Caenorhabditis elegans: one gene and its partner. The protein of the gene in region 2 purifies or fractionates together with the protein of the main gene of each other region. This does not show direct contact. Each region holds a gene or a part of one and is shown on either strand. Other genes may lie near its edges.

What was found. The genes of interacting proteins can lie anywhere in the genome.
Region 1: the proteins of T02H6.1 (region 2) and tank-1 fractionate together in Caenorhabditis elegans (co-fractionation; one large-scale study listed by BioGRID). This does not show direct contact.

Annotation. Positions count from the first base shown.
Region 1 is NC_003283.11:1,282,452-1,287,969, forward strand, and holds the start of tank-1 (Poly [ADP-ribose] polymerase tankyrase), read right to left. Parts: upstream 3,250-5,518; 5' UTR 3,234-3,249; coding exon 3,146-3,233; intron 1,811-3,145; coding exon 1,257-1,810; intron 1,208-1,256; coding exon 1,009-1,207; intron 959-1,008; coding exon 1-958. UniProt on the Caenorhabditis elegans protein: Poly[ADP-ribose] polymerases modify various nuclear proteins by poly(ADP-ribosyl)ation, a post-translational modification synthesized after DNA damage that appears as an obligatory step in a detection/signaling pathway leading to the reparation of DNA strand breaks and programmed cell death.
Region 2 is NC_003280.10:707,374-712,998, forward strand, and holds the start of T02H6.1 (WD_REPEATS_REGION domain-containing protein), read left to right. Parts: upstream 1-2,007; 5' UTR 2,008-2,015; coding exon 2,016-2,084; intron 2,085-2,132; coding exon 2,133-2,234; intron 2,235-2,377; coding exon 2,378-2,488; intron 2,489-2,688; coding exon 2,689-2,825; intron 2,826-4,113; coding exon 4,114-4,193; intron 4,194-4,239; coding exon 4,240-4,403; intron 4,404-4,876; coding exon 4,877-5,002; intron 5,003-5,187; coding exon 5,188-5,343; intron 5,344-5,462; coding exon 5,463-5,548; intron 5,549-5,625. Other genes in the region: thoc-1 (Death domain-containing protein), read left to right, coding at 917-1,235.

The sequences.
Region 1 (5,518 bases), on a different chromosome or scaffold from region 2:
AGCTGCCAGTCATTTGGCTCGGATAGAATATTATCATCAATTGAGGCAAGAAGCTTTAAGCAGTCCAAAAATCCATATGCAGCAGCGTAGTGAGCAGCAGTATTTCCAGACGAATCCGCGAGAGTAAGACTAGCTCCCTTGGCGAGGAGGAAGGCTGCAGTGTGAATCTGACCATTGAGCATTGCGTGGATTAACGGGGTACGCTTTTTCTTATCTTTTCCTTCCACCAATGCTCCCTTCTCAACCAACTTCTTCGCCATCTCTAGGTATCCTTTTCCACATGCCATCATCAATGGAGTTAATCTGTTTTGTCCTGTGGATGTTGGATTGTCTACAACGATGGTTGGCTCGGCGAGCAAGGCATCAACAACGTCAAGGTTATTACGTAGCACCGCCAAATGAAGTGCAGAGTTTCCAGAGCGAGTTCTCGCATTGATGATAGATCTGTCAGCTCTGATTGTGCTCTCTCCGTCGTCTCCTTTCTCCAAATCCAGCATTTCCTTCATCAAAAATGTGCAATTCACAGCTCTTCCAGCTCTGGCAGCCACATGCAGTGGGGTTTCGGTTTGCTTGGTGAGCATCGTAACAGATCCACCGTTTTTGAGAAGAAATTCCATAGGAGCAGTTCCAGGAGCACACGCGGCATAGTGCATCGTATACCAGTTGTCTTGATCCGGAATGTTGATCGTTGGGTAGACGGCTCTCATCGCTTCTAGCATATGGGTGGAGTTGGAAATGGCGGCAGTGTGAAGTGGAGTGATATTCTTATTCATGTACGCCTTTTTCGCAACAGATACTGGAAGGATTTTGGCGGGCAGTTTCTGATCTTTCAGAGTTGCACGGTGAAGATCGTTGCAGTGCATTTTGACGGGTCCCTGTGCCAACGCGGATGCAAGATCGCGGTGGCCCATTCGAACAGCAGTGACGAAGTGCATTTCGATGTGATGTTCGACAATCGCTGAAAATCATTAGGTTTAAAGACACTCGAAAAACTTTTTAAAAACTCACGTCCGTCTGGAATCTTGCAAAGTTGATACAACTTAGTGTATGTCACATTATCCTCGATAAGCTTCGTCAATGGATTTGGCTCATCGGTCCTTGTGTCATAGTTCAAAAGAGCATTGTTTCCTTCTTTGCCACCTCTTCCCATCTCAATCTGGCGCGTGTGGCGGCCGAGCATGTAGTAGTTCTTGCGACCGGTGGTTTTCTGTAATAAAACATTTTTAAAGAGAAAATTAAATTCAAAAAAACCATACCTTTTGCAACAGATTCGGCTCTTTGCCCGGATGATAGGAATTATCAACTTCCATTTTATTGTTCATTTTGAAGAACTCGGTGGCAAATTTGATGTCCTGCCTCAATGCTTCATCACACGCCGAAGTGTCGAAACTATAGGCAAAGCTCGTGTAGATTGCAGATTTTTGGCACTTCTTCGACTTATAATAGTCTTTGATTTCCTTCATATTTCCATTGCGAACGGCTCTGGTGATCCATCTGTGGTAGACGGAGGCACTGATGTACTCTGGAACCTGAGGATCGTAGAAAAACGGATTCTCCTGGTACTCAGTGATGACACGTGGAGTAAGTCGATCATTTCCCTTCTTGGATGGTGCTTTGACTTTTGGCGCCTTCACTGCTTTCACTTTCTGACCAGTTTTAGAGGATTTCTTGACAACTTTTCCACCCTTTTTCACAACTACAACTGTTTTCTTGACGATCGCCGTTTTCGTGGTCTTACGGCGAATCACAGTGGGAGTGGGAGCCTGGTAGAGAACTGCTTGATGGCGTTGACGGGACGACTTGGCACGGACTGAAATTCAAGAATATCAACCTTGAAATTCTGTGTTTTTTTGACTATTATTTTATTTTTGGAATGTACCGTATTTCATCTAATAGAATTGCACCGAACTACTTTACATTAAACGAATATATCTTGGTTCCATCAAAAAATGTCAATAAAATTTTAACTACAAATATATAGAAAAACATATAACAAGTGTTTTATCAGTTGACCATTTTTCAATAAAACAGACGCCGATTGAGATATAAGCTGTCAAAGTTGAGCAATGGGGTGTCACACTATTGGAAGAAATACGGCAATATTACAATATTGTAAATTTTGAACTGTAATATGTTCGCAAACTTTCAGCTAAAAAATTTGGATAATTCAGAAACTATTCTAATTTAACTATTGGAATTTTTATTCTGGAATAAATAACACATTATTTAAACAAAAAATTTCATTGAATTATTTGTATCGTGTTTCTAGGCTTGTTTTTCTTTGAAGCCATTTTCGGAAGCGCGAAGCAGAGCTGTGCAGCATTTTTTCATCCAAAATTAATATAGAAATGTAGTTAAACTTTTGCTCTATCTGAAAGTAGCACTCATTTTTGTTGAAAAGCTTAAAAGCTTTTAAAAAATCCTCAAACAGTGCCTGAAAGTTGCCGTTCGCTGAAAAACTTTAACGACACCTTTCTGGCAAACGGCAACTTTCAGGCACTACTTGATGCTTATTTGAAGCGGTTCAACAAAAATGAACTATTTTATATAGAACAAACCTTTTCCTACATTTTCTTTGCTACAAAAAATACTGCACATCTCTCGCGAGCGTACGTAGTAATATTTTTGAAATACAATATTATCAACCTGATGTAATACCAAGTACCCAATAAACCTAGTATCATCGGATCTCTAAAATTTGATTGCTAGCACCAAAGAAATGTGATGGAAAATTTAAATTAAAAAAAATTAATACAGATAGTGTATTCACAATAATATGCAATTCTCATGGGAAGTTTTGGTAAATTTCCAAAAGCTGGTCCAGGTTCTTAGCTTTAACCACTACAATGTTTAAACACAAAAAAATTAAAACTCGTAGAAAAAATAATTTTTTTAGATTCTTTTTAGCTGGAATCCAAATTTATGATGAGTGAAATTGAGTAAGTGTCATTTTTTAATTGAAAAAAAACAGTTTCTAAATTTTCAAAAGGTTTACTATGATGTTTGGTTAGTTTAGGAAACATTCCAATTCCCAAAAAAAAACAAAAATTGTGACAAAAAAATTTGAATCTAAATTTTAACATATTTTGAGAAAGTTTAGACAAAACAAAACATGAACCTTGCAGTTAATTTTCTCGGTTCTTACCTCCGTCCACAACTCGTCTCCCGATTTGCCCATCAATTTTCCTGGCAGCTTTTACAGGAGACTTTTTCTTATTAACACGACGAGCCATGCTGTTCGGATTACGGCTGAAACAACAGAAATGAACGAAAGTAGAAAAGTTAGGAAAAAGCTTATAAAATACACGAATATTCAAATCATCCAGAAATCAAACTTTTTCCCCAAAAAAAATGCCCACAAACAAAAAATAGTTGGCAAATACACGCAAGGTCATAAAAAGAGAAAAAACCACGAAAAAACGAGAGAAACAGATAGCAAAACCGTGACAATAGGGTGGAGGAATGAGAGACGCAGACGGTTTAGCAGAATTCTCAAAATGTTGTGAAACCTTGCAAAGATTAAGAGGGCAATGAGATGGGGAAAAGTGTTTGTGTGTCATTCGGTAAACAACGGTTTTTTTTTCCAAATTTTGACATGTTGGAACGCAAATCTGGCAGACGTGGCAAAGTTACATGTAGTTTGGAACTGGTAAAAACAAAAATCGCCACGTTTTCTCGAGATCAAATGCGCCGAGGTCAAATAAATTTTTTTGTCAAAATACACTTTTTTATCTATTCTGTGGAAAGTGAAGTACTGGACGCCAAAATGCAAAGAATAGGCGATATGTAGGCACGTAGGTAGGTAGGCGTAGGTAGGCAGCCAAAGTAGGCATCAGTTTTGACGAAATGAGCATTTGGATCAAAAAACGAAAAAAAAATACACGGTTTTTTGGCGTTTTTTTTTTGGTCCGACAATGGCAGCACGTGCTCGCTGGTTGGTCTAAATTATATTTTCGGGGACTAGAAAACTCCGTTTACCAATTCAAAAAATGGCCTAACAAAAGAGCGGACGAGGAAAAATCCTCGGCCGTGTAGTCCTCTCGGAGTTTTCTGTTTCGATTTCATTACTTTTCTGCGAATTTTCACGGGGTCCGGCCTTCCTCATTGAATTTTTCTTGCTCTATTGCAAATCTCCTGCTGGACAACGCGTGGCAAAGTTGTATACTCCACACGGACAAATACATTTAGTTTTACAACTAAACTCGAGCCGCGACGCGACAAGCAACGCGCCGTAAATCTACCCCAGATATGGCCGAGCCAAAATGGCCTAGTTCGGTAAACTCTTTTATTTCAATTTATGAGGGAAGCCAGAAATCCTTCCTTGGTTTTGTTTTTGGTTTTGCCAATTTTCGTAGTTTTTTCATCAAATAATATTGTCATTTTTTTTCGAAAATATGAAAGAAAAACAGATTCGAAAAAATAAGAAATATAATTTTATGTCCGAGAGGGGTCCACCAGCAGCGTTTGCATTCGGGCGCGTTTGCATAGTCTCATTGCAAAAGGGCAGCCGGCGAGCACGTGCATTCAGCATTATTGAAAAAAATTATATAAAAGAAAATCAATTTTAGAAACTAAGCTGAAATGAAGGTTTTCCGTTTTCGTATTTTGGACACAACAAACACCAAAAAACACCGCCCAAACTAATGCCGCCGTATGAGGTGAATAAATCTCTATTGGAATCGATAGAAATCAGCGGGAGAGCTGATCTCTATCACGCCTTGAAATTGTAGCATTTTTCCGTATATGCGTGCGCGGTGAGGGCGACAAACGATTCTCTTTGTTTGAGGGACAAACCGAGGTCGAAAAATCAAAACATGCGAGGTACGCGAGAGAAACAAATCTCTCAATTTTCTGCCGTTGAATACAAATGCCGCATTGCCATGGACAACGCGGCGGCGCACTGGCAAGCTGAAACTTTCACGAGTGCAAAATGCCAAGCATCATCGCCGTGCAAAAGAAATGTTTGGAAAAAGGAAAACGCAAACATGGTGATAATGGAAAAATGATATCATAGTCAAACTACGAGGACATTTTTAAGTCTTGATAAAATGATAAAACCCTCTTTTTGAGTGAAACCTTTTATACATTTTTTTTGATGGGTGTTGACGACGATGATGATGATGACGATGTGTATGATAACGGAGCAAAATGGCGTGATTCCTGATGTCAATAATGATAATGGTATTAATGACAACGACGATGACGGTTTCAAACTCCGGTTTTAAAATTATAGTTTCTTTTTGCTCTTTTTTTCGTGAAATTTTTCACCACATTATCTGAATTGGCGGTAGGTAGGCAGGTATAGGGATGAACAGCAATTGCCGTTCAGCAAACCAGCCGGTTTTTTTTTCAAAAAAAAAAATTAATTTCCGGCAGCTTGCCGATTTGCCGGAAAATTTGATCTTCGGCAAATTGCCGATTTTCCGTTTGCCGAGCAGAAATTTGCCGGAAGTTTTTAGGGGGATTTTTATAAGACGGAAACACTGAAAATGTGCCTTTATAAAATTTTTTCCCATTT
Region 2 (5,625 bases):
CTTTTTCCAGCAAAAATTGACTCAGACAACCGATTTTTAACAGTAAAAATCACAAATTTCTATATTTTTCGATTAAAAATGACTGAAATCTCATATTTTTCATGATTTTTCAGCATTTTCCATCAAAAATCGGCTGTAAAAACCGATTTTTAACTGAAAAAATCACAAATTTCTACATTTTTCCATTAAAAATGGCTAAAAATCGTATTTTTCCATGATTTTTCAGCTTTTTCCATTCAAAATCGGCTCAGAAAACCGATTTTTAACTGTAAAAATCACAAATTTCTACATTTTTCCATTAAAAATCGGCAAAGATATTGATTTTGAACGATTTTGAGCCGAAAAATCGCTGAAAATGCATGTTTTTCAGAAAATTTCACTCAAAATGTCTAGAAAATATGAAAAAAAAAGATCAATTTTTTAGTGTAAAACCCGTAAAAATTCATAAAAACTGAAAATCTCGGCCAAAAATAGTATTTTTCCATGATTTTTCAACTTTTTCCATCAAAAATCAGCTCTAAAAATCGATTTTTAACTGTAAAAATAACAAATTTCTACATTTTTCCATTAAAAATGGCTAAAAAGCATATTTCCCATGATTTTTCAGCTTTTTCCATCAAAAATCAGCTCTAAAAATCGATTTTTAACTGTAAAAATCACAAATTTCTACATTTTTCCATTAAAAATGACTAAAAAATCGTATTTTTCCATGATTTTTCAGCTTTTTCCATTCAAAATCGGCTCAGAAAACCGATTTTTAACTGTAAAAATCACAAATTTCTACATTTTTCCATTAAAAGTAGCTGAAATCTCATATTTTCCATGATTTTTCAGCTTTTTCATTCAAAATCAGCTCTAAAAATCGATTTTTAACTCTAAAAATCGCAGAAAATCCCAAATTTTCCATTTTTTCCAGCCAAACATCTTCTCCGAACCCCTACACAGATACAATTCTCTCGGATGAGCATCTCACCCAGTTGGCTCGAGATTTATCGAAATTTAAATCAAATCTCGCGAAATGCTTTGGCACAAAGCTCCCCGCCGATGACGTCACCAGTGATGAGAAGATTTGCTTTAAAATTCTCAAAAGTTGGGCTGAAAAGAATGGGAGAAGCGGGCGGAGTCTGTTGAATACGCTAATTACCGATTTGGATGTGATTGAGGTGGCTCAGGCGAGCATGAAGGTACGGTTTTTCAGCGAAAAAATGAAGAATTTCAGCGAAAAATCATTTTAAAAATGAAATTTAACGCGAAATTTCACAACAACCACATGGGTCTGCTAAATCGAAAATTGTAGTTTGTAGTCTAGCAGACCAGTTTTCATCAAAACCACTTGGGTCTGCTAATTCGAAGTTTGTAGTTTGTAGTCTAGCAGACCCATCCTTTTCAAAGCCACAATGGTCTGCTAAATCGAAACTTGTAGTTTGTAGTCTAGCAGAACCATTCTCTTCGAAACCTTATGGGTCTGCTAAATCGAAATTTGTTGTTTGTAGTCTAGCAGACCACTTTTTTTCAAAATCTCTTGGGTCTGCTAAATAGAAATGTGTAGTTTGTAGTTTAGTAGACCGCTTTTCATCAAAACCACATGGGCCTGCTAAATCGAAATGTGTAGTTTGTAGTCTAGCAGACCCATTTTGAATTCCTTTTTATTAAAAAAAAATAAATTTTGATTAAAAAACATTAATTTTAAAAATATCGAAATTTGCCGCTTTAATAAATCCTTTTTTTCAGAAAATCAACGAATCGACTGCATAATTCGCCTTCAAATTGCTGTAAAATCGGATTTCTTCATTATTTTTCACTTTAACTTATTAATTTTACCCTTAAATTTGTTTTTTTTTCGGTCTCATTGCCTGTTTTTTATTCATTTTTTCTCCTTTTTTTTTCATATCAAAATTTGTATTTTTACTATTTTTTTCTGCAATTTTTTCTTGTTAATGGCGTTTTTCATCGCCGGTTTTAACTTGAAATTTCTAATTTTCAGATTAATTTTAATGCCATTTTCAGCTTAAAAAATGCCTGCATTTTTTGTAAAAGCCGGCGCCAAAAAGAGCGGCGGTGGAGCTGCAGCGACTAGGAAAAGAGTGAGCTTTTCCTTCCTTTTTTCGCCAAAAAATTAAAATTTTTTATAGAAAAATGGTGGAAAATCGGATGCAAAAAGCGAGGAGATGGCCGCCAAAATGTCACGACGTCAGAAGATTATGGCAGCTACGGAAATTCATTCGGATGAGGAGGTTTATTCGCTGAAAAACTGAAAAAAAAAATGAGCAAAAATCGACGGATTTTCCGTTAAAAATCTAAATTTTTAGTGAAAAACTCTTGTTTTTTAACTAAAAAATTAGAAAAATTCAAATTTTTCAATATTTTCTTGTTCCAGGACTCACTCGCCGGAAGCGCCGCAGCATCAGAAGCCGGAAGTGACGTGGAATACGAGGATGCACACGAGAGAAATTATCGAGAAGCCAAGAAGCTTTTGGACAAGATTCAGGTGAAAAATGACTGAAAATCCGGGAATTTCACATCGAAAACCTGCGAAAATTACGAATTTTTCACCAGATTGACTGCTCAAAAATTCAATTTTAAGCTCAAAAATTCAATTTTAGAGCTAAAATTCATTTTTAAGCTCAAAAACCTTAATTTTAAGCTCAAAAATTCCAGATTTTCAGCCCAAAACTTCCCAAATTTCAGAGCACAACAACGACACAAGAGGAGGTGGCAGAGAAGCTCCGGGACGATGCAGTTGCACGTACAGGAACACAAGTTAAACGAGTTGCCGATGTGGTTGAGCTTGAAGATGATCTGGAAATTAGCTATAAACCACATAGGTACAGTAATCCGGCCCGTAACCTGAAAAAAATTTTGCGAAAAAACCAGAGTTTTCCAACTGAAAATGCTCAAAATTTCACTGAGAAAAATATAAAAATCGCTGAAATTTTGGAAAATTGAAGTCGTTTTTCATCGAATTTCATGCTTTTTTTTCAATTTTTAGCAAGAAATTGACTGAAAATTCAAAGTTTAAAGCTTGAAAACATACGAAAAACTGGAAAAATTTCAAATTTAAACTGAAAAATCGGAAATCTTCGACTTTTCCAGTCTCTACAGTACCCCCACTCCACCTACAGTAACCCGAAAAAGCTAGAAAATTGGAAAAAAATTGAGTTTCCTTGCTAAAAATCGAAGAAAATATGGAAAATGGGTCGAAATGCGCAATTTCAGTTATATCCAGAACTATAGTACCACTGTCACAACGATTTTCAGATTTTTTGAAATTTCTGGAGCTACAGTACCCCCACTCCCCCACCTACAGTAACCCAGATTCTTCCAGATTGTTCTTCCAGACTCCTACAGTACCCCGACCATATCCCGCCACCAACCCCAAAGCAATATCCCCCTTCAAAAGACGAAAATCCAAATTTTCCAAAACTACAGTAATCCTACAGTACTCCTACAGTACCTCTACAGTACTATTACAGTACCCCGACCATATCCCGCCACCAACCCCAAAGCAATATCCCCCTTCAAAAGACGAAAATCCAAATTTTCCAAAACTACAGTAATCCTACAGTACTCCTACAGTACCTCTACAGTACTATTACAGTACCCCGACCATATCCCGCCACCAACCCCAAAGCAATATCCCCCTTCAAAAGACGAAAATCCAAATTTTCCAAAACTACAGTAATCCTACAGTACTCCTACAGTACCTCTACAGTACTATTACAGTACCCCGACCATATCCCGCCACTAACCCCAAAACAATAACTCTTCAAAAGACGAAAAGTCATATTTTCCAAATCTACAGTAATCCTACAGTACTCCTACAGTACCTCTACAGTACTCCTACAGTAACCCGACCATATCCCTCCACTAACCCCAAAGCAATATCCCTTCAAAAGACGAAAATCCAGTTTTTCCAAAACTACAGTAATCCTACAGTACTCCTACAGTACCCCGACCATATCTCCCACTATCCCCAAGCCCTAATTCCTTCAAAAGACGAAAAGTCAAACTTTCTAAAACTACAGTAATCCTACAGTACTCTTACAGTACAAAATTCTTTTCCGATCTCTACAGTACCCCCACTCCCACCTACAGCAACCCAGCTTCTTCCAGATTGTCTCCGCTCTGTGTCGCCTTCTCACCAGATGCAAAATATGTGATTAGCTGTGGAAAAGAGTCGAGTATTGTCAAATGTAATCGATTTTTTGCCGGTTTTTAGTCAAAATTGCCAGTTTTCAGTCAACGTGGGCACCCGTAAAGTCGTCGGAATCATCAAAAGAACCAAAAAAAGAGCCGGAGTACCGGAAGAGCCGACAAATGCTCATTATGGAGTCATTTTCACTGTTGCAGTGTCGCCAGATCAGAAATTTATCGCTTCTGGTGGTTTTGATCAGGTTGTCAAGGTAAAAATGTGGAAAAAATCAGAAAAATAGCAAAAAAAGCCGATTTTTACCTGAAAAAAGCTCTAAAATCGATGAAATTTCACATTTTCTGGCTTTTAAAATTGAAATTTTGAGCTAAAATTGCAAAATAAGCCGATTTTTATCTGAAAAAACCTCGAAAATCGCAAAAATTTCACTTTTTTCCGATTTTAAAATTCAAACTTTGAGCTAAAATTGCAAAAAATTGACTTTTTTCCATCGAAATGCGTAAAAAATTAAATTTTTTACCTTAAAAAAGCTCAAAAATCTCTAAAATTTCACATTTTTTAACTTTTAAAATTCAAATTTTCAGATAAATGGCATTTTTTATACGAAAAACACTTTTAAAAATGCATTTTTAAACTTAAATTGTAGAAAATTGCCTATTTTCCACCAAAAAATTTGAAAAAAAATCAGTTTTTTAGGCACCTAAAAATATGAAAATTTTGTTTCAGATTTGGAATTTCGACAGTTTGGAGCACATCAAGGACCTCTCCGGACATCGTGGACCAATTTTTTCGCTCACTTTTCAGCTAAAAACCAATAATCTCTACTCGGCCAGTCAGGATCGATCTGTGAAGGTTAATAATTGGATTTTAAGCTGAAAATTAACATTTTCCACCGGAAAATTTGATTTTTCAGCTAAAAATGCACTAAAAATCTGGAAATTTGAGTTTTTCCAACTAAAAATCCGCGAAAAAATCCAATTTTCCATTGAAATTCTCACAATTTCCACCCATTTTCAGCCCAAATCTCTTCATTCCAGATGTGGGATATCGACCAGCTCGGACTCGTCGACACAATGTACGGACATCAGGACGGTGTCCAGCAGATTGGTGTACTGTCGAAACAGCGTGTGGCAACTGTTGGTGGAAGAGATCGTAGTGCGAGACTATGGAAAGTCGAGGATGAGAGTCAATTGGTACGCGGCGAGACGAAAATCTGCAAAAAAAAGCGCTGAAAAATGCAATTTTTTCAGGCTTTTTTGAGCTTTAAAATGAGCTTAAAACCATGTTTTAGCACTAAAAAATCAATTTCCAGATGTTCAGTGGACTTCAAAACTGTGTCAGTTTGGACTGCGTCGCAATGATCAACGAGGAGCACTTTGCCACCGGATCTGCTGATGGGTAGGTGTGATGCTACAGTACCCCCCAGGAGCTCGCGGAGCTTGGCTAGAGAACCATTGGAACTACTGTGCTCAGTT